4 linked regions of the Caenorhabditis elegans genome follow. The protein of the gene in region 1 interacts with the protein of each later gene in a pairwise test. Each region holds a gene or a part of one and is shown on either strand. Other genes may lie near its edges. The genes, in order: nhr-22, mxl-3, lsl-1 and irx-1.

Evidence for each region.
Region 2: the proteins of nhr-22 (region 1) and mxl-3 interact in a two-hybrid assay, tested with the Caenorhabditis elegans proteins (one large-scale study listed by BioGRID).
Region 3: the proteins of nhr-22 (region 1) and lsl-1 interact in a two-hybrid assay, tested with the Caenorhabditis elegans proteins (one large-scale study listed by BioGRID).
Region 4: the proteins of nhr-22 (region 1) and irx-1 interact in a two-hybrid assay, tested with the Caenorhabditis elegans proteins (one large-scale study listed by BioGRID).

The regions. Positions count from the first base shown.
Region 1 is NC_003280.10:6,442,956-6,451,740, reverse strand, and holds nhr-22 (Nuclear hormone receptor family member nhr-22), read left to right. Parts: upstream 1-1,948; 5' UTR 1,949-1,952; coding exon 1,953-2,297; intron 2,298-3,175; coding exon 3,176-3,338; intron 3,339-3,426; coding exon 3,427-3,558; intron 3,559-3,994; coding exon 3,995-4,392; intron 4,393-4,440; coding exon 4,441-4,637; intron 4,638-4,684; coding exon 4,685-4,816; intron 4,817-4,864; coding exon 4,865-4,980; intron 4,981-5,026; coding exon 5,027-5,178; intron 5,179-5,224; coding exon 5,225-5,319; intron 5,320-5,370; coding exon 5,371-5,380; 3' UTR 5,381-5,546; downstream 5,547-8,785. Other genes in the region: atg-16.2 (Autophagic-related protein 16.2), read left to right, coding at 1-16, 488-578; K06A1.2 (uncharacterized protein), read right to left, coding at 5,607-5,766, 5,811-5,875, 5,920-5,995, 6,048-6,124, 6,173-6,376, 6,424-6,591, 6,637-6,723, 6,764-6,871 and 3 more; cutl-16 (ZP domain-containing protein), read right to left, coding at 8,143-8,330, 8,593-8,785. UniProt on the Caenorhabditis elegans protein: Orphan nuclear receptor.
Region 2 is NC_003284.9:13,348,316-13,354,493, reverse strand, and holds mxl-3 (Protein mxl-3), read left to right. Parts: upstream 1-3,689; 5' UTR 3,690-3,703; coding exon 3,704-3,796; intron 3,797-3,847; coding exon 3,848-4,121; intron 4,122-4,173; coding exon 4,174-4,318; intron 4,319-4,373; coding exon 4,374-4,569; 3' UTR 4,570-4,855; downstream 4,856-6,178. UniProt on the Caenorhabditis elegans protein: Transcription factor which regulates the expression of genes involved in lipid metabolism in response to nutrient availability. Binds to the E-box motif 5'-CACGTG-3'.
Region 3 is NC_003279.8:9,897,769-9,904,316, forward strand, and holds lsl-1 (C2H2-type domain-containing protein), read left to right. Parts: upstream 1-3,510; coding exon 3,511-3,576; intron 3,577-3,623; coding exon 3,624-3,708; intron 3,709-3,755; coding exon 3,756-3,996; intron 3,997-4,232; coding exon 4,233-4,499; intron 4,500-4,662; coding exon 4,663-4,771; intron 4,772-4,821; coding exon 4,822-4,920; intron 4,921-4,968; coding exon 4,969-5,058; 3' UTR 5,059-5,161; downstream 5,162-6,548. Other genes in the region: Mitogen-activated protein kinase kinase kinase mom-4, read right to left, coding at 10-228, 572-953, 1,567-1,693, 2,111-2,190, 2,236-2,334, 2,438-2,604, 2,763-2,831.
Region 4 is NC_003279.8:9,534,029-9,543,330, reverse strand, and holds irx-1 (Putative iroquois-class homeodomain protein irx-1), read left to right. Parts: upstream 1-2,364; 5' UTR 2,365-2,445; coding exon 2,446-2,466; intron 2,467-2,998; coding exon 2,999-3,460; intron 3,461-3,660; exon of another isoform or gene 3,661-3,800; intron 3,801-4,055; coding exon 4,056-4,415; intron 4,416-4,915; coding exon 4,916-5,126; intron 5,127-6,132; coding exon 6,133-6,212; 3' UTR 6,213-6,866; downstream 6,867-9,302. Other genes in the region: C41G7.15 (Saposin B-type domain-containing protein), read right to left, coding at 9,021-9,260; C41G7.7 (uncharacterized protein), read left to right, coding at 8,269-8,289, 8,336-8,447, 8,864-8,952.

The sequences.
Region 1 (8,785 bases):
AAACTGCGAGATCAGAGTGAGTGAAATTAAGAAACGATATTACAAAAAAGTGTTTCAAAAATGTTTCAAAATTTTTTGTTAGAATTAATCAAAAATGTGATATTATAGAATATAGAATTTTTGTTACCATCATTAGCCAGACGCAAAAGTTAGCGATTTTAGTTCCAAAGGTACAGCACCTGCCCTCGACACGATATATTTCAGTTAATTGCGAAAAGGCGTGCGCCTTTAAAGAGTACTGCGGAATTTTAATTTCTAAATCTTTCGATAAAACTACACTTAAATAAAAACTTTGAAAAAATGTAAAAAAATATGGCAGCAACAAGCGTTTAAAGTTACAGTACTCTTAAAAGATGAATATGTATTTAATAAAAAATTATCGTTTCGAGATACCGTAATTTTGAATGAAAATCGAAAACTTGGGAAATTAAATCCGCTTCCAGAGTACAATGCCCCAATTCTGCTCTCAAAAATGTTTTTTTTTCAGTTCGGCTCAAATAATGTCTCTGGCATGGAATCCGTCAGGCCGAGGTCTTCTAGCTTGTGATCGTCAGAAGACTTGTACACTCTGGAGATGATCTTCAATGTATGAAATTGAATATAATTGTACAGAATCATCATCTGTGTTATAAATGTGCATATCCATTTTTAAAAAAATAGTTTTACCCGCGTTTTTCATGTTTTCTTTCAGATTTTTCATTATGAACATTCGTTTGAAATAGAAAAAAATTGTATGATATTTATACATTTTAATTTAAACCGGTAATCCTCAAAAAATGCCTGAATATTACAAATTCTGTGTTATCACCACCTATCCCTTGTATTCTATGAACATAAAATGCACATTTTCTTATCATTTCACCTGGTTGGCTGACTGACAGTCGTTTGGAAACATTCGAGTTTTCTTAAATTTTCTATAGTTTCTGATGCTAACCTATGAAAATCAGTTCAAAATGATGACAAGAATACAGGAAATTAATAATTTCTGTTCCCGCAGCATGATGATATTTTTTGCCGATGAATAGTCCTAATTCTTCGTCATTGAAAAAAATTTGCTCCTTTCGATCTGAATTTGAAAAAAGTTTATTAAAAAAAGTATATTTCAAATATTAATGATTTCTGATTATTCTGCATTGCCAGGAAAATATTTTCATATAAACTTGTGAAAAGATGTCAATTTCTGAAAACAATTCGGCCAGTTTTCTGAAGCAGTATTTTACATATCTTCCAGGGTTCAAAAGATTAGTACTCTCAATGAGTCGCAGACAGCTTAGTTGTTTTTTCTTTCGTATTAATATACTTACATTTTCTTTTATCTCTAATTCTCTTACATCCACCTTTTCCGCAATCTCTGCCACTGTCGGCGATCTCTTGTTCTCGCACGTTTCTCTCTAATTCTATAACGAACGTAAATCTTTATTCTCTCTATTATTTTTATATATATTTGTGTGAAATATTCAAAACTTGAGTATTTAAATTTTTTGAAAAACCATAAGTTCAATGTGATAATTTGAAATTTTCCCATCACGTTTTCGATTAGACAGAATGAAGTTTCCGTTCCAGTGACTATAAATAGGCGAAATTTAATTGAAAATAGTTTTGCATTATTTTCAAACCACAGACTTTTTATTCATACATATATTTGAAAATATTAATTCAGTGAATTGCAAATTTAAAACTCACATTTCTTTAAAATTAATGAATCAATTTTCTATCTCTTGCCGTAACAAATAAATAAATCCATATATTAATATCTTCTCCCCTTTGTCCAGCCAATTTCTCATCTCCTCCAATTAGCCTCTTCCCACCTTTCTCTCTTCTTCATTTTCCCCCAATTCTGTTCTTATCAGTACTAACCTTGTTCGGTCCTTTCTCTCTCTAACCTCTCTCTTCTCTTTTTCTTACTCTCTACCATTGCCGCACACCTCCATTCATTTTCACTTTAATCAAATATGTCTACGGACCTTCTCTATGAATATTTCTATCCACCTACCGATTTATTCAAAAATACTTTTGAAGACGTACCACCATCTCCTGAGTCTCTGGACGTTGGTGATTCGTTAGGATCATCTCCATCTTACGATCTTGGATTCCAACCATCATTCGATATTGACTTCTGCATTTGGAAAGAGGGATCTTCATCACCTCCACCGGAATCGAATCATCTCCCAGAGATTGTAAATAAAGCTTCAACATCTCCACGTGGAATGCCATCTCCATTAACTGACAGTCGAAGTTGTCATGTCTGTTCATCTCCCACTGCCAATACTCTACATTTTGGAGGTCGTTCTTGTAAGGTAAGCAATATGATCAAGAAAAAAATATTTCTCGTATCAATTATTAATTAGCACTACTCCGAAAAAATGAACATTTTTTGTTTTTACAAGTGTTGTACTTTCGTTGTTGTTGTACAATATACATTTTTTGTTTTCTGGATAACAATTGAATTTGCATCGGACATTATTACCCAGGCCCACGGTATCCTGCCTCAGCGCAACATATTTTTGTTAAATTCGAAACGTTGTGCGTCTTTGAAGAGTACTGTAATTTCAAACTTTTATCATATTTTTTATCATTCAAACTCGTAAAATCAACATTTCTAGACTTGAATTTTTGTTCTAAAAACACCGATAAACCGTTGGTTTCATTAGTGATAATTGTGAAAAAAGGTCCTAAAGTATTTTAAGGCGTAATAATATAACTATGCTTTGAAAATGTGCCAAAATTTGTAACATGCTCGCCACGTGTTTTTATTGTTATCCTGTGTTATCTAGAAGTGTATTGTAGTCAGGTATTTTCTTTTTCCGTCTGCGTATTTCGACGAAACATCACTTATTTTTGTGGCCATTTGTGGTATGTGTCTCACACTATTTGTTTTTGTAGTCTTAAGTGTAGCTAGAATGACAATAGAAGATCTTCATCTGATCGGATGTTTGAACACACCACAGTACAGTTCCTGTTTAGAAACTAGCTCCTTTTGACCAAGTTTTGTATGATAATCTTACTGAAAACCACGAACAAATAGAAAAAGTTGTTGATAACGTACATCACACTTTGCATGCTTTATGTTTAAATAAAGAGAAAATGAAAAGTACAATTTGCATCACTAATACCTCCGGAAACATGTTTCTCACAATTTAATTGGAATAAATTTAATAAATGAGCATATTTTCAGGCATGTGCAGCATTTTTCCGAAGAAGTGTTTCAATGTCAATGACTTACGAATGCATTGGCACTGGAGATGACACAAATCCGTGTAGAACCCATTACGAGCTCAGAATGATATGCCGTCACTGTCGGTTCATCAAATGTTTAGATGCCGGAATGCGCAGAGAACGTGAGTGATCATTGACAAGGTCATTTGTCACATGTTCAATTGGCCAAAAAGTCCGAGGTACAAAAAACAGTAATTTGTTGTTTTGCAGTGGTGCAAGCGAGAAAAGAAGAGACGAGAGTTGCAAAACGACGTTCCAAGGGATTGGTTGTATCGAAAAAGGAAGATGACGATGTTGAATCTTCGTATGATGAGTATGTAAATACATATACAAATGTTCAAGGTTAGTTTCTAATTTATTTCGAAAATATTTTTGAAGCCCTCGACTGGGAAATTTTTTAAACCCTCTCCTATGGTAATAAAATTCCTAAGTATAACAGTTTAACGTTTCAAAAAATTTTTTAAATTTTTTAGTTACCGTCAAAAGTGGGCAAAACTCAGTTTTCATCTATCACAGTTTTTGGAAGTTGACCAAAAAAAATATTTATCTACAAGTCCTTTTTTTTACAGCGTTTTAATTGTTTTAATTGGAAAAATTCCAGGGTTCCAACTTGTAACAATTTCTACAATTTTTTGAAAATTTGGCAATTCACCAAAACTGAGGTTTTTTAAACTCTTAATCTTTTTGGAAAGTTTTTATGAGATTCGGTTATGTTAGAGTATTATAAGTGTATCTATCCCGACTGACGATACTTTAATAATACCATTTGTTGTTTCAGATTCGAGCCCGAAAATGGAATCAGGGATTAATGAAATGACGATTCCTGAGTCATACCTTTCACCGGATCCTTCATCTTCTCAACCACTTGATATGACAGTAACACCTCCACCACTGCACCGTTCAACTCCATCCATACTTCTTACTCCAGCAACTGGTGACCGTATGCACTGTCAACGTGTGCTTTCCAATTCTCCTCCATTCGATATACACCAGGCAAGCACCAGCCATGCAGGATTTATTCAACATGTACAGTTCTACCCAGTCGTTGAAGTTGAAAATAAAATTTTCGAATTAGTTGATCATTATGTAAGAACAGAAGCTTCATTGAATGATCGAAGGAAAATAATGTACACGGATACTCAGATAAGAGATGTTTTCGATACAACTTGTGAATGTGTGAGTTTTCAATGCACCATATCCATTTCTCACAATATTCTCTTTCAGCCCTACGAAAATCATCAGCTGAAACCTTTCAACTATAAATCATTTTGCGGATTTGTAAAGCACGACTTTGTTATGATTCTTGATTACGTGAATCAATTTCCGGAGTTTCAAGCTTTACACAAAAATGACAAAAATGTGGTCTATCGAATGGCTTGCGCCGTAGATTCAATGCTTGCATCTGCCTATTATAGCTATAAGTGAGTATTTAATGTTCAAAAATTAGATTCAGTCAGTTTTTCTACAGAGTTGGAATAGAAAAAGAACGTCTAATACTTTTCAATGGTGACTATATCAATATGAATCCGATTCCAATAAGTGGAGATGAGCCAGGCGCGGGAACAGAGTTTCAAACCCCGCAAGAACATGAAAAGTACAAGTGAGTTTGCTAAACTTTTTTAAATCTCAGTAAATTGTTATCTTGCAGAACCCTAATGCCACTGAAGCTAAAACAATATTTCGATCTGGCAATTCCGTTCGCTCGACTAGAAGTCTCATTTGAAGAATACGTACTTCTGAAAGCTCTCATAATTTGGCAAATCAGTAAGTAAATAATATCTACAGTAAAGTTTTAAAATTCTCGTTTCAGGTAACTATCGGTTACTAGAGGAGGGACGAGCAATTTGTGCACGGCAACGAGACACAATAGTTCAAGCCTTGCATAAAGTAGTTGAAGAACGAGGTGATGAGGATCCAGCTATTCGAGTTGGTCAGCTTCTTCTGAGCATGAGCTATATAACGGTTGGTTCCATCATCAATTTGTTATGAAAAATTAAATGAGTTTCAGGAGCAAGTACAAGCAATGACAAACTCTTACCTTGTAATGACTTTCTTTGATGTTGTATCCTGTGATAGTATAATGTACGACTTACTATCTTTCAGGTAACAAAATTCTAATAATTTCAAAGTTTAAATGTTATCAAATTATTTCAGAGACGACTGAAACAACCATCGTGAAGGTTCTACTTCATTCATCTGACTTTTAACGACTATTAACTTACATAGCTTTATCGCGTAGCTTTTGTATTTAAAATTGTGACATTTTGTTTATATTCTGTGATTTTCTTTTTTTGCCATATTCGTTCAAACTCTCAATTCAGATCTTTCAAAACATGTGTAAAATTGAACTCATTTCAGTTGTATTGATATACATTTAATAATTAAAAAATTTATTCAACACTTGACACATGACTAGGGCTATAAGAAGTCACCGAATCATCCACATAAACCGGAAGAACGAAATATTGCCAATGCGATTGTGGAACCAAATATGGTTTGCTCCAAAGACGTTGCAAGTCACCCGTTGGTGGAGTCGAGTCAAGAGGAAACCTGAAATAGAATGGATTAGAGATTATTGAGAACTATGAATTCACCATTCAATAAGAATATTGTGATTCAACGTTGGAGATTCAGCTCTAGTACATTGCTCGACTTCTATCTGAAATTTCGACTGTTTTTGGTAGCTCTAGATGTAGTTTTCACCGAAATTTCTTTGCCGGGAGGAATCAAAAACTTCGATGGATACAACTTGTAGAAGCCAGTGGTTGACAACAGAGCTCTACAAAAAATGAACTGTATTTAAAATAACCAGAATAATTTTCGCTGCAGACCTCAACGCCAACCAATCATTGTTCCTATTGTTCTTCACATTCAATATAGACAATCCAAGCCGTGGGACATGGAATGGCTGAAAATAAAATAATGTTGCAATATATTTCACTTTAATCATTCTCACTCTCGGATGGATATATGTCATTTCATTAAACTCGCTCTCGATTCTCGTCTCACCAGATTGAGTACTCAGAATAGTTGGAGCCACCTGGCTTGGGGTCTCCTCGCTGATTCGTGGAATTGGATCAATATTAGGCTTCAATTTACTGAGCAGGTATGTTTGGATGACAAGCAACATATGATAAACCAAAATGAAGAAGTGTGACAGCTGAATCAGAAGTTTCGTTCAATGTTGGAATAAGGCTATCGGAATACCATAAACTGCCAAATTGCTCCATTTAGTCTACAATAGCCAGGTTCATGATCTTTGTGCCAGAGACAAACTGTAGAAAGAAAGCATTCATAAACAAATATTGGGACTGTAATCAGCTTGAAAATAGCAAGGAAGAGTGCACCAAACTTGTTGATATACTTTCGATCTTTCTGAAAATTAAAAGATATGGAATGGACTAGAATTAAAAAACTTACAACATAAATGAATAAAGAAAAATCGAAAATGAAGAATATCAAGGGAAATGAGAAATATAAAGATGGACCGATTCCAGCATCGAAAATCTAAATTAATTTGGTTGGCCTGTGATTACTGGCGTTTTACCTGATACAAGAAGTGCCGTGGTGTTGTGAAAACTCCTTTTGGATGTTTCATGCAAACTTTTCGAAATGGAAAGTATATGGTTACCAATGATAGAAGGAGGAATAGTGACTGAATAAATGTTTTCTGGAATAAACTATACATTAAATCCCAACCTTTGCCCATAAAATAGTCGTCATTCTACTCTCCTCTGGTATCACAATATTATATTTCGGTAAATATTTCACTGATTTCATATAGAATGTGACTAGCAGAAGAACCACACACGAGAGCCCAACATGACCAAAGACTAGCCACCAAACTTGGGACATTGTCCATAATTGTGTCAACTCGGCCATTTTTCGCTTCTCCGGAGCACATATTTTGGGTGAACTTGATGAAGTACAGCAACAATGGGTATCTCTTGCTGGAAATGGAATGTTGAAAATAATATAATTTATTTCAAATTTACCATCACCCAGGCAAACTGATGACTCGTCAGTTTTGTTAAGCAAAACAGCACAAGAAAGTGTTGAAAGTTTTGAAGGTTTTTGAGAACAATCAAATCTTTCAATATCTCCTTCTGATGTGGCATGGAAATGAGAAAAGCATATGTCAGACGTGCACTGGTTATTTCCATTTTGATTGTTAATGCACTGGTTCGAAGATCCCGAGGATAAGGATCTGAAATTTTTACTATTTCTGAGATATCCACGCAGGACGTGAAATGGTTGCATCTGACTTCCAGTCGGTCTACCCGCGTGCCTACTGCTAAAGTACATGTAAAAACAAACTTTCAGCAATAAAAACTTTAGTGAGACGTTTGTAAATCTACACCGCGCAAAATTCAAAATGACATCAGCCACGAGAGAGACAGAGGCAGGCAGGTATGAGATTTGCCTGTGCTCCTGGAAACAGATAAGAAATTTATAAACTCACAAACTACATAAAACAAAGACGATAACTTTTAGCATGCTGGGAAACTCAAAAATGATCTTTCTTTTTTGTTTTACGTGGTTTTTGTTTTATTTTTGAAATATGAACACGTAGAGCTTATATGAACTATCACGGTAAAATTACAAATAATAAGATTCTATTTATATATTAAAAAAAAACAATTCGACATTCATTTTTCAACTTTAAACGCTGAAATTGGCACGGAGATAACATATCATTCAGAAATCACAAATCAAAAACAAAAAGATGGAATAGTTGTTATAATTAATAGGAAAATTATTCGAAAACAACCCATTTTGGCAGGAAAATATGTAAGGCTGATGAAATGAGAACAGAATAAAGCATTTGAAGAAGGGATTTTGGGGAAACATTTACACGCAACGGAAAGGTCTTCTGAGGATTATGGAAATTGAAAGAAGTCTAGAAATGAAAGATCTTATAGAAAGTTATGGAAGAACTTGAAACCGTGGGTTCTTTTTTGCTGTATAGCAAAGTGCTCCAAATGTGATTGAGACTGCAAAGAGAATGACTCCGAGAAGAAGCCATAAAACTGCATATGGTAAGCAGACTGCTTTCATTGGGACTTCTTCTTGTGATGATGATTGTTGTTCTTGTGGTGATGGTAAATCAGCAGCTAAAAACTTTGATGTATCTTCATGTTTCTAATAAATTTCGAGTATGAAAACTGTTCTGGAAACTCTCTGTGGCTATAAGGAACGTGTTACCTATCTTGAAAGCGACCTACTCGTATTTCGATCAACAAATCACGATCCTTACATTACACTGGACGCAGGCTACCTTTCACAAAAGACGCAGCATGCCTTGTGGACATTTTTGAACTAACTAGATCATTCTAGCTATAACGCATAAAATATATACAAGTACCAAAGTCTTACCAAATGCACTATCCAAAATTGTGATATCTGATGACACATCAACATCCGTTGCATCTCTTCGTTTTATCTCTCTTTTTGTTGTTCTTGGTCCTTCAGATGAAGTCATATGTTGAGCTTCCGCATGTGCAGGTGAACCTTCAGAAATCTCAATTCCAGATCCTTCAGCATCTTCCCACACGGTATTGTTACTTTT
Region 2 (6,178 bases), on another chromosome or scaffold:
GAAAACATGTGAATATCACAAAATACCAATATATCTAAGTACTAAATTATCTTTATTGACGTTTCCCAAATGAAAACTACAATTTACAGTAAATTACAGTAAAACTGCAAAAATGTTTTTTTTTTCTAATTTTTAGAGATTATCAAATTTTGTCTATAAAATTTTTACTATCCAGGCTACAACAACATTGAAATATACCCGTTGAATTATTTTTATTAGCACGGCCCCCAATATCCAATTGCACTATGATGAATCAGTTGAAACAAGTAGGGAAAAACATAATTCTGAATACAGTTGATTATTGACTGCAAAACCGGCTAGACAATTCCATCAACATATTTGTTTTAATCATATTTTTTAGGGACCTCAACTAATTACGAAGGCTACTGATAGCAAATCGTGGAGAGTGAATGTTTAATTTATGAAATTTTTTCATTCAAATAAAGTTGTAACCGTGTTTTTCCACATTGTGTTAGCATATTATACACAATTTTTAAAGCTAAGATTGAATTTCATGCACTTTCTTTTTGACATAGACATTTTAAAAGATAATTTCTCATAATATTAATAATCAGTCATGCTTCCCCACAGGTGCAAATCATTTTGACCCCGTCAGTCTCTTGAGCGACTACGATATAGGCGCGCTCTTTCTATTTGCCACTACCGCGTTGATACACAATGTAGTCACACTTACTCACGTCGCAACGAGGAGGACCGATCGCGAATTGTTCTCTGTTCACTCGAATTAGTTATACGAGTTTCATCTCTTCCTTTCAATTCACTCTCCTCTTTCAATTGGGTTCATTGCTGAGTGTTTTGTGATTTTTCGATGAACACGCGTACCGCACGTGAAGTGTTGATCATGCGGAGAAATGTCAACTGTACGTTTCTTAAAAGATACTCTATTTTCACTAATGTGCACTGATCAGAAGCAGGAAAGTAGTAGAATCGACGTAGCAAGTCAAGGTGTATTCGGGGATCAACGAAACAACTGGACCAATATATGCTCTTTGATCACGTTGGGATCGAAATTGAAAGAGAATGAATTTTACATCCACCCTCATTTAATCTGTTGAGGGTGTGGATTAGTGTAAATTCCAAGCAATCAGATGACTGCCAAATAGGGGATAAGTTGGCTTAAAAATTAAGAAAAGCTTAGAAAACCACTTTCAAATAGATTAATATATTAACTTAATTGGTATAAAAATGCAATTTCTTTGCGCTCTAAAGTTTGGCGAAAAAACAAATCTTTGATTCATAGCCTTTAATAAATAAGTTTTCAGATTGCATTGAAACAATTAGAATCACATGGTTTAGACACAATTCAAAAATCCAGTCAAGATTGATTCATCCGCACTATAAAATAAAATATTTATAATCATTCACGAGCTTTGCCATAAAATATCTGTATCTAGAGTAGCAGTACTGAAATTGCAAATGGTGGCAAAACTAAGAGTATCCATATGTGTATTTGATTAACTTGTGGTACAATGCATAATTAGCAATGGTTTTGCTTGATTGTAGCGGTTAAATGCCGGTTTCACGAAACCTAAATGTGGTTAATCCAAGGTATATTCAAATATTAAACTTTTGTATTTTTTATTCCGTGTTTACCCGATTACATTCATTTTAGATTTGATTCATTCTCTCGATTCAAGAAAAAAAAACAAAGAAAAACAAGGATTTCTAAAAGAAAACCCAGCTCTATTTGAAATCTTTTTCCCAAATTCCTGGTAATGTACAGCACGGCGGTTTTATCTTTCCAGAGCTACTCCCTCGAAGAAATCTGAGTTGATCCAGAGAGATTAGTGGTTAACGTTTAGATAACACACTTGATCGAACAAGCCGCCACCACGCTGTTTTTCGGATTATTGATATATAGTTGTGATTTTCAACAGATTAGCAAAGGATTTTGTAAAGCTTATCGTCAGCGTGCTTTTTTCTTTTAATTTTTTGCACGAGCAAGACACCCACCCTCGCTTTGTGCAAATGACCCTAGTTCATTTGAACTATAATATTATTGAAATTTCCAATCAAAGTCCATATCACTAAATTCTGTAGATACTGTACAACATCCGAATTGTGAAATCTGATCGTTCTTGGCGCGAAATCATATTCACCCCCTACGTTAGCCCAAAGTACGATCACATTTCTATCGCAGTCGTCTAAAATCAAAATCAATTCAGGGTTCATTAAGTGAGCGTCGCATGACCTACGTGATAGAGCAATTAAACTGAAAAACCCAAACGTTCGATGTCTAAAAATATCATTCCAGAGAAATGAAATACATTTTCAGTAGACCTATGTGCTAGAAAATGTGGAAAAAATTATCATACCACCACCATGACTATTGACAGTGAAAAAAGAGATTTTAAAACTGCAAAAAAGTTTTAAAAATTTAGTTATTAAAGAATTGAATCTGACATTACTCCAAGTCTTACAGAGTTATGTAGCGTTATGTAGGGCGAAAATTTGAAATGATCTGTTGTTATAATTGTAGTGAAACATATATTTTGATGTTCTTCTTTCTTAGTATGATAATCTGCGATTTTTTGTAGGAACGAATTTATTTTTGGTTGAAAGTCAACGACTACAAGGAATTCGAATATATGTTGGCCGTTAATACATTTTTATTTTAGAGGAAGTTTGCCTTTTGACTCAAATTTTTTTCTGTAAAACAACAACACATGTTTAATTTGTTTACAACGTTTAGCTACAGTCCCCTAGGCCACACACTGCTGAAAGAAAAAAAAACAAAAGTAACTAACAAGTTTGGGGTCATAGTACACCAAGTTGTTTGTTTGCAAAGTTTTTTGCCTGAGTCTGTTCACTCCTAGAGGTGTACGGTACTGTTGACACCACCATACATCATTCGGAAGTAATTTGACCTACATTTTGAGCTCACTCAATGTTATCAGAGGTCTTTGTGCGTTGCACACATCACGATGCACGCACACTAAGTCAAGGCAGCCAAGGAAACAAAGTTTCGGGTATTTTTTGTCGTCAAGAAATGAACACGGCACGTGAAGGCGCATGTGAATGAGAGGATGCGTTGCACCCGACCGTCACCATCGAAATTAAAATTGAGCTACGCATTCTTTGAGTGTTTGCACTTTTTGACATCCCCGTGTTGCCATATTTGTGCTTCTCCCAATCAAATTGCTTCTTTGCTGACATCCTCAGAATTTCTTCCAAAACATTTGTTCCTTGTACCCTCTCAAGGAATGCTTCATCTTGATCCTTCCCACAAACGCATGCTACCCTTACGAGATCCCCGCAAGATTCACATGATTTCAGTGATCGGTTGACAAAATGGGGGAAGGCTATAACCTTCTGCTCCAAAACATGGGCGGAGCTACAGAGCTTATATCAAAGAGCGCCACTTCTCCGGGCACCCTAGCACCCACAGTGGCTGAGGTGCAAAGAACACACGCTGACCGCGTGTTGGAGGCGGCGCGTCGACTCCTCCCTTTCTGTCAGACAGAACGCCCCTTTTCCTATATCTTCCTTCTCGCATTGCAGATCATACCACAGTTAACGACACCCTCGAAGATGGTCGCATGGCTCTTTTACATATTTTTTGTTTAATTGTGTATTTGTTTTTGTTTGTGATAATTTTCACTTACAGTATTCTTATATAACCTTCTCTTAAAATTGATATTTCATTGCTATATATATTAAATTTACAGTCAACATCTCTACCATGTCCGCAATCGTTGAAGACATGTACTTGCTTTCTTCATCCATGAAAATGGAAAAACAATTCCGCAAACGCCATCACTCGGATTCTTCCGATGTAAGTTAAACTTCTGTTGTACCCTTATTTTACTAATTGTTCTTTTTCCAGGACGATTCTTCAAGCCCGAAGTCGGCTTCTCCATCCATGGATGATGACCGTCGTGCACATCACAACGAACTTGAACGCAGAAGACGTGACCATATCAAAGATCACTTCACCATTCTTAAGGATGCCATTCCACTGCTTGATGGGGAGAAATCGTCGCGAGCCCTGATCCTGAAACGAGCAGTTGAGTTCATCCATGTCATGCAAACTAAGCTCAGTAGTCAAGGAAAAGCCATTGAAGATCTCACAAGGAAAAACGAGCTTCTTGAGGAAAGGCGTAAGTTACATGGATATCTAGTGGATTCATGAGCTCAATTTCTAATTTTCAGTGCTCGAACGCGAGTCTTCCGGTTCTCCATCTTCCTCTCGGCTTCCAGCTCTTGCTGTTAGCTCAAGCCAAATGCAGCTCACCATGCCAATTATCCCACAGATGCAAAACATTGCACAGCTGTCTCAATACCCACAACAAGCAAAGTAAGTAAACAAATAAATTGTTCCGAATCTGATTTTAACAATTAAGTATTTTCAGTATAATTGCTCAATCCACAAACCCAGCTCAATTAGATGGGCTTATTGCTCTTAACAATGATGCCATCTTGGCTTTACTCGGAAGCTTTCAAAGCGTGAGCCCATCGCTTTTGGATTCTGCACCTGGTACTCCACCTTCTGGCTTTTATCCTTGTGCATTTTCTCCGGTTGATCAACAAATGGCAGTGAAAATCTAAAAACCTTCAAAAAGGCTTTTTTATTTCTTAGATACCCCCACCCTTCGAATTCTCTAATATTTTTTGATCTCATTTACTCGGTCGTCATGAACCCTTCTTCGGACATTCCAAACATCCATTCGGTTTCTCCGGACATACATGGGTTTCACGTGTACTTTAAGAATTGCCTGCTTGATCTGACAATATATTATTTCAGTTTTTTTTACTCACTGATTTGTTCCAGTTATGATATCTTATTTATTGATAATGCCGATAATAAATACTGATAATAAATATTTATATCAACATTTTTTCAACACCAGTAAAACACATTGCAAAAAATTAAAATTTATAAAGGCACCCAATAGAAAGTCTTTCAGCTACCGTAGTTCTTTGCTGCAAAGTAAACAGGTTGTTACTTTTCTTGTCAACTTTATTTAATGGTCAATATACGCGTCAGTAGTCGTATACTTTAAGGATTTTTACAGAAAAAATATTTATGTCTATTCCTCTGGACTTTTGCATGGGGAAAAGATTTGGATTTTAGTAGTGGTCATTTTTATAGAATTGAAATGATGAAAACAATGCTTTTTACCACTTACAAATTAGAGTAACTATTTTCCATTATACATAACAGAGATCTGCGACAAATTTGCCGAAATTGCCCAGCAAGAGAAATTTCCAAAAAGTGGGTTTGCCAAATCTGCCGAGATCGGTAAACTTTGAAATTTGCCACACACATCACAAATTCGACTAACATAATTTGACCGGAACCATTGATTTTGCTCCAAAACTTCTAGTTAAGTAACATGTAAGCAAGACTTGTACGCAGATAGACCACACGGATCTTGTGAAAAAATCAAAAGTATGCTTAGAATTCACCATTTTTGGTGCCCCATACAATATCAAAAATTATCACATTTTTTCGAGCTTTTCCGGCAAATTTGCCGAATTTGCCGAGTTTGGCATATACTAGAAAAAAGAGCTCGGCAAATTTTCATTTTTGCCGCACACCCCTGGTAGATCTAAAAAAATCTGAATACACATAGCACTACATTGAAAGCCAAAAATCTTTGGAATAGGTTTGCTGTTTTGAAATAGGTCGTTTATTGCACTTTGCTCCTGCAATTCTAAACAAGCATGCTCTAAAACATGATATCAACTCAAAAAGTACACGGTACAGTGCTCTAACGTTTTGTTGTAGTCAAATCATATTTCATCACGTATCCAAAAAAAACCGCTCTATTCCACTTTTCTTTCTTTATAATGTGTGTTCTCTGAGGCCATTTCGTAAAACAATATGCGAGGCATATCATCACACGTGTCATCAAATGACTTGATGATATGATTGGTTCAAAATATCAAATGCGAGAATCGCATCGTAAGCCAACGGAAAAATAGTTGTTTCAATTCAAAACACACTTGAGAGAACGAGGACAGTTCACTGAACAACTCAACATTGAACCTTCAAGGAGGAATATCGAAGATCGCTGGGAGTTTGTCAATGAAATATGACGAATATGTTGTGATACAGATTTATCAAGTTTTGCAGTTGTTCTTATTTTCAAGAAAAAAAGCCTTCTGAGAAATTATATAAAATTTACGTTTTATGAGGACCGAATTGTTCGGG
Region 3 (6,548 bases), on another chromosome or scaffold:
AAATCTTACCGGTTGCACTACAAAAGTCTCACTACGATTTCTTCTATGACCCTGTCCAGGTTGTTGAGGATTTAAAAGTTTTGAAGCAGTTGGTGTTCGATTATTTGATCCTATTCCACTTCCAGAAGAAGTTCCAAGCATTGTTGGTCGATGAGCATGTGGTGGAGGAGTTTCTGCTGGTCCATTTGTTGAAGAATCCGATAAAGGTACGCTCCCATTCGGATATTCCTTTAATGCAAAAAAAATTAGTTTTTTTGGAGTTTGGCGAGATTCATATGTTTCATAGAAAAGCAGGTCTTATCACGAATACAGTAATTCTCAGATAAAATTAAAAATTGTGTTGGAATAACACAATTTTTAAAATTTAAAAACTTTAAAATAAATTCAATAAATACTTTAATTTCTTCGCAATAAAAAATTCGAAAACAAAAAATTTAATTTGCTTTGCAGCACCTTCTTTCGAGATTGTCCAAAAATTTTAATTTTGTATTTTTAGAAATATTTGTTCAATTCAAAAAAATTGTTTTTAACTGGTTGAGTATTTAATTTTTAATTTTTTAAAAGAACTTACATCTTTTAGAAGAGTAAAATATTCTACACATTCGGAAGAAGTCGGTCGAATATCAGCATTATCATTCCAACATTTCTTATAAAATTCAGACAAAATAGGATTACATTCGAGTTCTTGTGGACGTAAGTTAGCTGTCGCAACATTATATAAAAGTCCAGGAACTGAGAGATCTCTTCGATACGGATGATTTCTAGCAATAATTTGCCACATTATAATTCCAATACTGTAGATGTCAGATTTCATATTATACTGTTCACATCGAAATACTTCTGGAGCCATTGTGATTGGAGTTCCACGATTTGAAGTCATTGATTGATGCATTGAGGTAAATGTTCCAAAATCACATAATTTCATTGTTCGATATCGATCAGAGAGAAGCATGCTGAAATTATTTTGATTGACCACAGTAGGTGATTTAATTTTAATTTTGAAAACTGACCGCTAAAGATTTCTGATAATTTATTGAAATTTGAAAAGCTACAAAAATTAAGAAATTCCTCATTTTTACTTTTAAAATGGCTTTTTAAAATTATTTTCATATGATTAGTTCTTCTTGGAGGATATTTTTAAATCCACTTTGAAATATTATTTTTTAAAAATGATTTTTTTTAGATTTTACACATTATTTTGTGGACCAATTTTCAAGGAACTTTTTGCTTAAAAAAATAAAAAAAATAGCTCACACAAAAATGTAGAACCCTTTAAAATTAATTTTTCGAATGTCTAAAAATGGATTCGAAACATTTCTGCTTTTCTGTACTAAATTCACTTAAAATTTCAAAAGATTTTGTTGAATTTTTCTAAAATCTAAATTGTTAAATTGACAGGATCTCCGCCATTAATTCTTTCAACTTTTAAAAAATTTACCTAATATATTAGCTAATAGTAAAGAAAAAAATTTCAATATTTTTCTGTTAATTTTCAAAAATCACTGAAAACATCTTCACATCCAACATATATATTTCTTTCAATAATTTCTGCTATCAAAAACTCACTTTTGAAGTTTCAAATCTCTGTGAACTTGGCTGTTGGAATGGAAAAAATCGACGGCGGATGATAGTTGAAACATCCATGAAGCCACATGATCAATTGTATAATTAATGTGTGTTCTGTCGTAGAGTACTGAAAAAAAAATAGATTTTTCAGCTAAATTTTATTTTGGAGAATTGCCTCATTGAAATGAATTTTTAATTTCGTAAAAAACAGGGTTTGGAGAATTTAAAGCGATTTTTTTAAGACTAAAAATGGAAAAAAAAAACCAAATAGCATTTTTTTTGTTCAAAATTATAGTGAAATTTTTTTTGCCAGATTTTTCGTGTTACAGCGTCCATATATTGATTTTTATTCAGTTTCTTCCATATTTTGCAGTATAATCCGCTTTTTTGATGTATTTTAATATATTTTTAGCTGATAGAAATTTCTGTTCCTATTGCCGAAAAAATGTAGTTTAATTCGCTAAGAAACACGGAATAAACCGACAAAATGTTAAAAAATTTGGCGAAATCGGGGATTTTCACTAAATTTAAATGAAAATCTCACAATCGGCCATGCTTCCACAATCCATATATTCCATAACGACTCCTTGCCCATTCCGAGGGCTTTTGTACAGTCCATAAATTCTGAAAAACTTCTATTTTCAGTATTTTCCATTTATAAAAACATACTTTATAATATTAGGATGATTTCTGAGATCCCACATAACTTTTGCTTCTCTTATAAGAGTTGCCATATGAAGTTGAGAAGAATATTTGATTGCTGCTGGCCTGAAAATAATATTTTGGTGATTTTATTGATTTTTTGTTAACTTTTGATAATTCCTCATGCTTTAAAAGAATTAAATTTAAATTTTTGAAGCTAGAAACGAACCTAAAGTCATCCTGCCTAGTTTTTCTATATCTTGTTTTCTCAACCAATCCATAAGTGCCTTTTCCGAGATAATGACTATTTAAATTATCAATACATTGTGCTTGAATTTCGGGAATATCAATTGTTGAGCACAATCCGGAATCTCGTGTTGTTCGTTGTGTTGGTGTCTGAATTTATTAATTTATTGAGTTTTCAGTGATTTTTATTGATAGTTTTGGTAAAAGCAGGCTTTATACGTCTTCAACTGATTTTTTTAAAAATTAAATACAATACTGTTTTTACAAGAAAACGTTATTTTTCTTTACTCAAAATCCATTAAACTTACAATTGCGGCAGGACTTGGCGAATGACTGGACGAACTACTAGACGGTTTGCTCTGTGACGAATTGTCCATTTCAGAGCCGAAACGGTGAAAAAAATGGTGATGGGCGGCAAAGGACAGGAACTGGCATGTGTTGTGTGTGTATACTCTTTCTCTCGCTCAGTGGAAACGATATAGTGCACAAGTAGAAGAAACTGCAGACGAATAACAAAATAGACCAACGGGACACAGACAGATTTCCGATTTAGACAAGGAAGAATGATGATTTTAAAGAAGTTACTGTAGCATGGCTGAAAATTGTTTTGATAAATACATAAAATTCAATTGCGCAGGTTTTACAGAAAATTCAAAATAAAGAATAATTGAATGTTTTAAGTTCTGAAAAGTAAAGAAATTACACAACGGGGAAGAAGTATGGAAATTTATTCAAATTATATTTGTATAAAAAATACAAAGATCGAAAATGTTCTAATTTTCTGTTCTTCTGTTCTAAACTAATTTTGTTAAATATATAAATAATGTTTTCAGCTTAATTCGAAATTGCAGAAACAATTCTTTGTTGGGGACACTGTGCTCAAAGGCGCATGACGCAACGAAACTTTTGGGTCTCACCACGAAACTGTCAAACACGGTAATCCTAAAATTTAGAGAAGCTGTCAATTAATTTATGAGTTTTGTTTGTCTTAATTTTATGTTTAAACCAACAAATTGTCTGCATTTTTTCTTCAAAAAATTTTATTTTTTACTTCAGATGTCAATTATTGATGACCGAACGGATCCATCTTACGACGGCGAGGACTACGAAGCTTCTATAACGGTATTTTATTTCGATTCTTATTTTTAAGATTATTGAAATGTTTCTAGTTCGGAACCTATCAACAAGAAGAAGTCGCCCCGTTTGCTGTTCATCAGTGTAATGTGTGTAATAAAATGTTTATGAATTATAAAGGTTATTCGCATAAAAATAGAAAGCTGAAATAAAAAAAAACATTTCAGGTCTCCAACAGCACTCTGTGATTCATACCGACACCAAACCATACATCTGCGATGTTTGTGGCCGAGGATTCCGATACAAATCGAATATGTTCGAGCATCGTACCGTTCACACCGGCTATACCCCTTATGTGTGTCCATTTTGTGGAAAACAGTTCCGATTGAAAGGAAACATGAAAAAGCACATGCGAACTCATGTGACAAGCAAAGAAGAGTTGGAAGCTGCTTATAGACCATATTCGAGGTTGGCAATCGGTCGACCCTTCACCTTCACAAATAGTTCGTGGTACGTATATTATACATTGGACGTACAATAAATATGTTATTCACATTGCATTGCACGAATTTTAAGAACTTCGTCCATTATATTATGTGAATAATACATTTATTGTACGTCCACCGTATAATACACGAACCACGAATTATATGTGTTGTACGAGGGGAATTCTGATATCTATCTCGTCTTAAAAATGATTTCAGCAATCGGCGTTCGTCTGGAATTATTCCGTCCGATGCTCTAGTCATTCGTGGGACATCGATGCCCTATTACAATCCAGAGAAGAAGCGATCGGTTCCGAAACTTTTATTGGGTAAAGATCCTTCAAAATGGGTTGATATGATCTGCCGAAACCAGCTTATCCCACTATCTTCATTTGACGATAAAATCATGAGAGCTACAATGCGATTGACTAACTGTCACATGGCATCCGATGTTCTAGAACAAGCTAAACCACTCGAGTTTGAGATGTAAGTTTCAATTCAATTTGAAATTACAGTACTCTTTAAAGGCGCACGCCCTTTTGTATTTTACAAAAAAAGAAGACGTGAAAAGACCAGCGTTTGTATTTTTACCGCAAATTATTATAATTATTGTCTTACTAATATCCCATGCAAAATCTGAAAATTACAGCTTTCGATGCCCAATTTGCAAGTGCGAATGTAGTGGAAGAGAGGATTGTCAACTGCATATGTATGCTTCTCATGATAAGAAAGAAGCTGAAGAACCAAATTATTGCACGGTAAATAATTGAAAATTAAATCTTGAATATCCTGTAAACTTTATTTTCAGAAATGCATGAGAGTATTCGCCGACGTAGATATGTATCGTCAACACCAAAGCTATCATTCTCGTGTTCAATTGATGATTCGTAATAATGAACTTGAAATGGTGAGTTGTTAAATATTGCTAATTCTTAATTGTATTATTTTGTTTCAGGGCTCTCCAGAAGTCGATATCTCTCAAATCTGCTACAGTATGATCACTAACACTGAAAATGAGATGAACATTCTAAAACCATCAGCATAGTTTTTCCCCTGAATTTTCCCCACATCCCTGTCTTTCTAACGCCCGTGTAATTGTTTTGTTCTGTTGCACTTGTTCCTTTCATTTTTATGAAGTTTTCATTTTGAAAATATGAATGGAAGACAAAATACAACAAACGTTGGATGATGGCAAAGTTTTTTAAGGAAGGAAGTAAAAAAGAAGCATAAAGGAGTTGGGAAATTCACAATTAAAGCACAACCAAAGCAGGACAAGGTGAAGAAAAAGACAATTTGGGGGAATGTTTGAATGGTAAAGCTGTGATAATGAGAGAAGATGATTTCTGATTTTAAGACATTTAATACACAGGGTTGGGGATATCAATGATACTTCTTTTAATTTGGAAAAACAACCAATTTCAGATTCTAGAATATAAATTACATTTATGAGACACACGTTTTGAATATCCCTCTCGCGGGGGAACAAAAAAAGATTTGAGGGAATCGGGAACACACAGAGAAAGAGCAGATGTTTTCGGAGAAAGCCGGGAAAAAAAAGTATGAAGAAGTGAGAGACGCAGACGAAAAGCAGTGCAGGTGGCTCATTAAAGAGGTAAACGAGTTGAGGTGGTGCATATTGATACTTTAAGATTATATGTTTGACGGATTTGAAGGTGTTTTGAAAACTAGAAAGCGGGGAGTTTTTTGAATTTGAAATGGAAGAGAAAGAGGAGAAAACTAGGCCAGCATTTGCTTTGTGGATTTACGAGCGATTTAACTATTACGGGAGCACAATATTCTGAGAAAACATGTTTGACGTGCAAAATATTTCGTAGTGAAAACTACAGTAATTCTTTAAATGACTACTGTAGCTCTTATGTCGATTTCCGGGCTCGATTTTTCTTTCAATATTCGAAAAAAAAATAATTCAAAAAATCGAGCCCGTAAATCGACACAAGAGCTACAGTAGTCATTTTAAGAATTACTGCAGTTTTCGCTACGAGATATGTTGCGCGGCTCAGAATGTTGTAATCTCGTAATATATAAGTAGTTTCCAATGTTTCTTGCAAGTTTTAGCGTTAAAATTGCATCAATTTCAGAAAATAGCCTTAAGTACACATCGGAATATTATTTGCAAGTTTCATTTTTCAATTTCCTCTTCCATTTCAATATTCTTTAGCAAAAAAAAGGTCGAGTGAACAATAAATAAACTAATTGTAAGGACCGTTTCCCCCTAACATATTGTCCAATTCACTTGATTGAGTATTTCTAAGAAAGGTCAATGACCGAAAAGTAACTGGCAAACTCTCAACTACTGTCATTTTTGGTGCAAACGGTGCAATCTGGCGACATCTGCCACTTCTTAATACGGTCTCTCTCTCTCTTCGCTCCACGATGCTTGATTGATGATGACCACCGGGCTGCTGGTGCTGCCCGAGAGAGCACACAGATTTGAGAGGAGTAGAGATAAATCAGTTTGAAAGAATAGATTGAGGAGAGTGAGGGATAAAAGAAAAAACTATTTGAATAAAGAAG
Region 4 (9,302 bases), on another chromosome or scaffold:
GTTAGAATAAGAACTGTAATTATAGATATGGCAATGTATTCAAAAACACTCTCGTACTTATATTATGGGTATCATAGAGATTATTGCAACTTTAATAGAGTTGTATACTGGCAGACAATTTTTCTATATCTGCTCTTGGTTAAAACAAAGTAATAATCCGAATGCTCGGTATTCAAGTAGTAAATTCAATATAGAAACTTTTCATTTTCATAAAAAAACGCGATGAAAAGTTTATGATAGCAGGTTTTGCTCTTGATTTTTCTGGATTAACGGTCTTTAAATTTTTTTAGTGACAAAGCTATAAAAAACAACGGCGGCAAAGAAAATCCCTAAAAATTATACCAAATGTTTTTAGCTTGAAGCTTTTAAACTTTTAAAAGGGAAAAGCCTTGCGTGTTTGGATCATTTCAAGTTTCTTCGTTGAAAAATACCCCATTTATGAGTTAGGAAAACCACTATTTTGGAAGTTCTTAAAAATCAACAAATGTTCTTCAATCTCTTGGGTACATTCAACTTCTTCTTCACCGTCGAATTCAACTCTTCTCCCGCTTTTTTCGATTAAACGGAACGCTTAACTTTTCCGTTAATTACCTCCAAGTATTTCCTTTCTGCAACCACTACCGTATTCCATGTATTTAACAAAAAAGTGAGCAGTGTTTTCACAAAAAACAACACCGCTCTCTGGAAAGCACCAAAACCCATTAACTAGTTGCTTCTTCTACTTCAATTCCACAGCTTCATCATCTTCTGGCTCCAGCTCCTCATAAATTGTGCCGCGACCTCATGTCTACACCCTCCTACCTCCCGTGTTCCTCCCCCGGCGATTGACTCCGCCCAATGACTCCTCCTCCATCGCTTTCTCATCATCGTTTGACATCAATCTCCCTACCATACACCTTTTTGTCTTGTTTGGCTCATATGTACCTACATCTTCCTGTATTAGTACAAACTTCCGCCATTGAACTTTTTTTGTTGCAACTTTATGTTACTATATATGTGTTGTTGTTACATGTTGTAATAACTAAATGATCGAATGACCCAAAGAGAGATGTTAACACAATAACTGACACAATAGTAAATGTATTACACCGTGTCCTCTTTTTTTACCTTTTTCTTCTCCATTTTCTTTTTCTTCATCATCGTCATCAGCGCCATCGTTGGCCACTTACTCTCGCCGGCGCCCCCTATCCAGCAGCTACACTTCTTTACACCCCGCTTCGGACAACAAGAGACATGCCATTTTAAACTTCTATTCTCTCAATTCTTGTCCCCCTACAAACCGTTCTGACCATTACCTAATTGCTTCTACGATGTATCATTCTTGACTTAAGTTCACTGATTTCAGCTTCTTCTCCTTTGTCCTTTTTTTGTTCGTGGCGCCATTGTGTGTTCGGGTCATTTGATAGTACTCTCTAGATTTTCCGTCGTTTTACTTTTTAACTTTCAAATGTTTATACTTTTTTTCTCTTCATCCTGCCAATATTTCGGATTAAACTCTATGCAATGATCCTTCCAAAGCTTCCTCTTCCCGTTATTTGCTTCAATTTTCAGTTTCCATTCGTGAGCCAGCCAGCAAATTTACAACTTGTTTGCTCTTCGTCCTTGTGAATACATTTATTGAGATTTTTGGTTCTTGTATTTCTTAATTTTCATTCCCAAACTTGATAATTGGTAGAGGTAGAGAGGTATTAGGTTCGAAAGATTTTTTTTGCACAAAAATAACAATTCTAGAATCAAACTTGGAAATAATAACACTAAACAATGAAATAGTAAGATATCAAAACCATCATCATTCTTACAATCATTAGCTGGAACGGTTAATTGTTTATCTTTCAATCTCTTTTAGTTGCCATATCATCAATTTGTTTTCTTTCCGTTCGATTCTTGTATCCTTCATCATCATCTTCTTCTACTTCTCTTTACTCCGATTCTTTTCCGTTTCTCTTCGTGAATTTCTCCGGTTTATCTTGTTAAATCTACGTGTTCGCACGTGTTTTTTGCGCTTCTTCAATTTCTTTCCCTACTCTCCAGGCCCCGCCCTGTGGCTTCCATGTCTATTGGATGGTGGGCGGGACTTGAGAGAGAGAGAGAGACACACACGGCCCCGGGCGGGCATCTGCAGAAAATCGAGATTGCTCAACAAGTTGTTGAACATAAGGTCCCACATAGTTCTACATCATCTCAATTTCTTCAAGAATTATCAATCAAACCTTTTCTCTTTCTCTTCTATGCTTATCACTGAATCGCTCCTCCTTTGCTCCCTCTTGATTTCGTCGCCTCTCTGCCTCTCTCTCACTCTCTCTGTCTATCTTTTTCAACAAAAAACTGCTCTGGAATTATAACTGATATCAATGTGTTCTTCAGATCATAAATAATCATACTTATCAACTATTGTTTCTGCACTTGTACTGAGATCAACACATCTACTTCTACTACACCATCACAATGATTCCTATTGCCAATCAGGTCAGTTTTTAAGCGATAAGTTTAATAAGCTAAATTATAATTTCTATATTCTCAAGTAGTGTTCTTACATTTATTTATTTCATTTTTGTCCTTCTTGACACTTGGAGTCAACTTCCTGCTCTTTCCAATTGCCATGTTAACCTTGCACCGCCACTGCTTGGCGGTTTATATCTCGGTTGCCTTCAGCTTTATCAAAAAGTGTTATACAACCAAAACATAGAAAATTATTTTGCAAGTAAATTGTCCGTTTGAAGTTTTTTAATAAAACCACAAAGAACTGAGATATAAACTGTCAAAGTGAAGGAAGAGGGGGGTGCAAGTCTAATATAGAAAATTGCAGTTGAGAAGTTGTCAAAGCTTGGACAAGGTTTTCGTTTTCGATTCCTACCAATTTTTACATAAATCTTAGATTAGACAACATTTGAACACAGTCTCAAAATACTTCCTTCCAAAAAATTTAGATGCCAAATGTCAGATTTATTCGTTTGGATACCTTCACTTCACCTGACTAGAAAAGTAAATCCATTTCCAGGTCAAAATGGAAGAGCCCACAACACCACAAACAACGACTCCTGCTCCACCCACTTCAGCTCCGGATGCACTTCGCGGAATTCTGCCACCAAACCTTTTAGGTCAATTTCATTTCCATCCTGCCATGGCTCAAGTTCTCGCTGCTCAAGCTCAAGCCGCCGCCGCCGCTCAACAAGCAACTCTTGCTGGCTTCCCCGGAGTTCCGATGTTTCCACATGGAATTCCAGCAGATCTGAAACCAGAAATGTTATTAGGTGGAGGGCCAGGACCGATGCCCATGTTCTTCAGTGATGCTCATCGTTTATATCATCCATATGGTTTAGATGGAATCAAGAAAAGAAATGCAACACGAGAAGCAACTGCACCACTCAAAGATTGGCTTCATTCTCATAGAAAGAATCCATATCCATCAAAAGCTGATAAAGTTATGTTGGCAGTTGGTACAGGAATGACACTTACACAGGTATGTTGTATTATTTCTTGTTTTGACAACAATTAGTAAATGCAACACTGTGAAATGATTTAATAGCCGTAATAGCCTATTACCAACCGTAATCTCGTAATTTACTCCACAATATTTGCTCAATTTATTAGCTCACACGGGATTTTAGAGCCGCCTCTAGTCATCAATTACAAATACCACAAAAAATATTGTTGTAAAATGTAGTAGACAGTGTTTCCCGCAGTGTTATTGTAACATTAGCCACTCACCGGCCATCAAACCCCGGGGGCAAATGTCTCCTTTTTTGACCGATGCCAAAAAAAGAGGGGCGAGAAACAAAAGATGTACAGAGGCGATAAGCGATGATGATGACACCTCGTACCCCGCTTAATTAATGTGTTTCGAGAGACATTCTTTACACAATACGAGAAATGTTTCAAACCAAATAGGGCTACTACTTGTTTGATTTTGTTGCAATAGACCAACAACACACAACCTTGGCGCCAAAAATTAGATTTTAAAATTGTTTGAACCAAAACTTTGAAGTTATTTTATTAAAATAAACTCTAGCCCGAAAAACAAAGCCGAAGCTTGAAATTTATATTTTTAATTACAGGTCTCGACATGGTTTGCTAACGCCAGAAGACGACTGAAGAAGGAGAACAAGATGACTTGGTCACCACAAAATCGACGAGGCGATGGTTGTGATGACGATGAAGACGACGATGATGATGACATGAACCGTCCATCAAGCTCAACATCCATAAATTCCGAAAGAAAAGGAGAATCCCTATTCGGAAAGCCACATCTAGCATCACCAACGCCTTCGGGAGGATCTGGAGGATCAGATGAGTTGACAACACCGAAGAAAGAACTAGTATCCCCAATTCCAAATGATGATTCTGAAAGTCCGAAGCGTAAACCAAAAATGTGGTCGATTGCCGATGTCACTTCAGATGACGATTCATCAAAGAAGGTGAGAGCAAAAAAGTTTAGATCATAAAATACATTGTACAGATTTTATAGTTTTCCCCATCTTCCCTCTTATTCTAACAGTTTTACGAAATGGACTTAAAAACTATTATATGTTTAGTAGGGGCAAATAAAGAGTCCTCCTCTCCCTTCATCTTGTTCTGCACATTTTATAGAGATGTAAACTAGTATGAATCATTTGTATGTGTGTATGTGCAAACTTGTGAGGTGAGTGTGAAGCAGCCGACAAAACTGTGCCGCTTTAACAACAAACATGATTGAATGATGGTTTTATACATTTTCATAAAGTACATTAAGGAATTGATGGGAGATCAGGGGGTCATATTGTAAAGTTTAGGCATGGGTTACTGTACTTGGAAGATACATTGAAGCATACAGCAGTGCCTTTTGGCAGCTTATATTTTTCATAAAGTTGTTAAAGTGAAGTAATTTAGTTCAAGATGATGAATAATGGTAACCCCTAGCAAACATCTTTTTATTTAGGATTCTCCACCATCATCAGACGAAAATCTATTAACGGGAAGCTTGTTCCAAAACGCAATGAAAAAACAAATGGAAGTAATGGCACGATTGGATCCAACTTTGTTCCGTCACACAATGCACCCATTCATGTTCCAACTTCTAGCCCAACAAGCTGCTCAAGGGCAACAACTTGCACTTTTGGCACCACAAACAACTCCTCCAAATGAAGCAGGTGAGGTGAGCAGGTGAATACACTTTTCTTACATTTTGTTACATGGCAACCTGTCTGCTTTTTCTTATCATTCTTTTTTTGGGTATTCCGAATGATTGACAGCTAGTTGAACACCGTGCGTGCTTGTACATGAACAAGAAAAGTCGAAACGTAATCCTCTTAATTTTAAAGTTGTTATCCTGTCGTGACGCTCAGTTTTTTTGCTATTTAATGCACTAATCATCCCATATTTACTGATAATAGGTGTATGTTTTCTGATACACATTATAAGGGGAAAGTTCAGTAGCTACAGCTTCTAGATAGGCATTAACAAAAGAGGGTCTACACTTAAGTTCTAGATCCTTTTCAAATGTTTTAGCTCAGAAAGAGGAGTTCTTTTCTATGTAATAATTTTGTTCGAAACGTCAAAGGCAACGAAAAAGGGCTTAAACTGAAGTAAGTGTCTCCTCATTGACCCCACGGATTAGTGTGCTCGTTTTTCTAAACCGCGTGTTCTTCGTCACTCAGTTTTTGTCCAAAAAAGGAGCGCTGCTCCCGGAGTCAAGTCACCGAATGATAAATTGCCGATTTGATCCGTTCGTATAGTTGATGGGAAACACTTTCTTATAACTTATTGAACATGTAAAAGCAATTCTAGTTGACCAATATGGGGAAAAACTAGAAAGCCTAGTCTTATTTGAAACGTTGAACTGAAATTTCTCAGAGCATTCCTTCAAATACAAGCATGTCAAGCTGCTCTAAATCCGGATTTTACATTATTTTAGTGATTTTAAGGTTGTTTAGATGCAAAAAACATTCTGAAAGCTTTTTGGAGATTTTAATAATTTTCAAAAAATCAGATCATTTTTCACACAACTCAATCTTAAAACTTTCAAAAACTAAAAATTTCAAAAACTTTTGAAATATAGCTTAATTGACTTGGTGCCTAGGTTTATTGCAATATACAATATTTAAAAAATCTTTGAACAATTTTTAAGCCTTGATTTTAATGAATAAATAATTTCAGGTCTGAACTCTCAAGCGGAGACGTCGACGCCATCTCCAGCATCTTCTCCAACGTCGTCTCCACGGTCCCACCAAGAGTAGAAACCCCAGCTTATTAAGTTTAATTTTTTTAAATGAATATTGTACTCTCTCAAAGTTTCACCTCCTCCACTAAGAACTCTGAAATCGAGAAAATATGATATAAACAGCGGGTCTTTGAATTTCATTTTTTTCTCCATCCCATTTAAGTTTCGATTATTTTGGTCTCTCTCTATGTACAGTACAGTATTGTCTCCCAAATATTCACATCCCATCAAAAATTTCATTCGGTTACTGTAGCACCATATAGGCTTTTTCTTTCTCATTCATTTGCTTTTTTATGTTCTTTTAAACTTTATATGAATTCCATGACTATGAATTTTTTGTCTCTCTTTCTCTATTTTTTCCCCCAATTTCTCCCAGTTTTTTCTCACATTATTAACATTATTATTATTTCAATTCCACACAATTTTTCACAGGATGCATCTAGTTTTTGAGCTTATGATCGGTTTTCTCAATTTCCCGCCAATAATTGGAGTACTTTAGAAACAATTTTCTTTTTTTCTTGCTTTTTCCCACCAATTCGCTTCAAATCTCTTCACGCAAACCCACTTTTCTTACAATCCCATCTCATTTCTTTGACAATTTACAGTTTTTTGTGAGAAAGATACAACAACCTGCACGCATAATTTAGAAAATGAAGAAGGTTTAATATTTATTTCTTGAATATATTTTAAGCTAACAAAAAATCATGAAAATGGATATACATTTAATTGCACAAAATACTGCAACCATTTCAAAGAATTGCAGGCTGAATTAGTGACAACATTTCGGTTATCAAGAACGTGCACTTTTAAAGTAATTTTGAGCATTGCTTCATGTTCAAAAACATAGAATTTTTAAAACACAAATGGTTATAGAAACAAAATTAAAAACGTATAAAACTGGTTGATGATATATTTTTTTTGGTCGACTGTCAAATTATGATTGGTAAAACTAAGTTATCACCACATTTTGGCTGTAAATAAAAATTTCTGAAAAGGTTCACAATGATATTTAGACGTTTTAGCGTTTTTTTTTTAAATTTCCACTTAAAAATTCAATTGAAGTCTTTTTAGTTTATTTTCCCATTACTGTTTTTTGCCGACCTCTTGAAATTTAGGGGATGTGTAAATGTAGACATATGTACATTTTGGAAGCTTTTTTTAAAAAGAAATATCATGATTCTTAAAAAATCTGATAAAATAAATAAATTTCCACTTGATAAAAAAATTCCAGATTATGTATTGTCTTGTTAAATGTTTTGACCTACTATTTACAAAGCGTAGTTTCAAATTAATGTGAAAAATGAATCAGTGAAAACAAAAACAGCAGATTTCATTCATTAGACACACACACACACACCATATCTCTAAAAACAAGGAATTACATGCATTTTCTCTTTATTTTTCCACATCTCGGTGACCCATGTAAACGCCTAATTGAAAATGAGATACGACAACGACGTCTAAACAAACATCGGTGAAGCTTAGAAAACAATGAATTTGTGTTGTCTGGATTCTTGGAAAATTTGGAAATGAGACAAAACCAAATTTGCCACCTTTATATTTAATGTTCCACATTTTAGAACTGTTTCAAAAAATATAATTTTTAATCGTGGATTCTAATTTCAGATAACATAATGCAATAAAGGCAGAATGTGCTTTAAATCGTTTGAAATAATCGCATTATTCCAAAATACAAAAAAAAAAGAAAAAATATTTAGGCACAATACCGGAATCTCATTTTGCATCTTTGAAAATTAAAAAATCTTCTCAAAATGTTTTCAAATCTTTAGTTAACTGTTTTAAACACTTGCTATTATCAATTAAACTTGTAGAAATCAATACCTGAAATACCTGAAAATGTGGTATTTTTCTATGCTGTATTTGCTTTTATCCTTCAACATTTCAAAGTTTCTTTCTTTTTTCCATTATTCATGACTATACAATTTGGAAAAGCATGAGCAAGTGAATTGTCTCTATGGATACATCCTGCGCATTTGAGCACATAAAATATTTTTCAAGAAATCCTTTCACCATTCTTTCTTTTTCATTATTTGTTCAAAAACATCTCAAAAATGTCAAACGTTGACCGATATGTAAGTTACCCGCTTAATTTAATTTTTACTAATTTTAAATTTTCAGGATGTTCACCGGGATGGTATTGAGAAAGATCGAAAAAGGTCTCGAAGCCGAAAACCTCATCAAAATGGTCAAAGCCAGTCAACTATGGATAACCGTCCTCCATGGAATAATGGTAATCAATGCATTATAATGGGATTTTATTTATTTATATAACTCCCGAAATTTGTAAATAGCAAATATAAAAAAAATTGTTTTATTTCTAGTTCATATTTCAATTACCTTTCAAGTATTATTATTCACACATTGTCAACAGTCTTCAAAAGTGCTCAAAATACCTCAAAAAGTCACAATTTGTAAAATGTTTTTTTTTTTTTTTTTTTTTTTTTTTTTAAATTTACCAAAACTTGGGCTAAAATTTTGAAATCTTGAAAAATGTTTTGGAGTCTTCAATTATGATATATGTGGATGTTTCTGACAAGAAGAATAAGTTAATTTGATGTTCAATTCCGCAACTACCTAAATATTTTTTAATATTCAAGAAAGTTTTAGTTGCTTATTTCGTACTGACAAACTTTCCAATTTTTTCAGATACATACATCGAAGGATATGATGATGTTGATGAGCATGGAAAGTTCAGAAAACGAGGAGGTGGAATGCCAAAGACTATTGACAGACAGGTAATGTTTGGGATAGGAATAACTGATATATTCAAACAAAAAAAATTAAAAATTTTAATGATTCAGTGTTACGAGCAAATTTGACTACAAATTGGGCCTTTGACTGTGTTCAAAACGAATTTAAGAATTGGCCAAGTATGAGTTGCATGAATGGCTTGTGCCAAATGTCGACAACCCGTTGCAAAGATTTGGTTTTCAATTGAGTCACATACGAGTTTCAGCAAAATTCGAGCTTGATCATCGGTTTCTAGAATACTTATAGTTCCACTGCAGACTAAGCAAATTGGAATGTCAGCTCCATTCGTTTCCTGAAACGGAGTGTGTATTAGAATAGAATATACATAGGCATA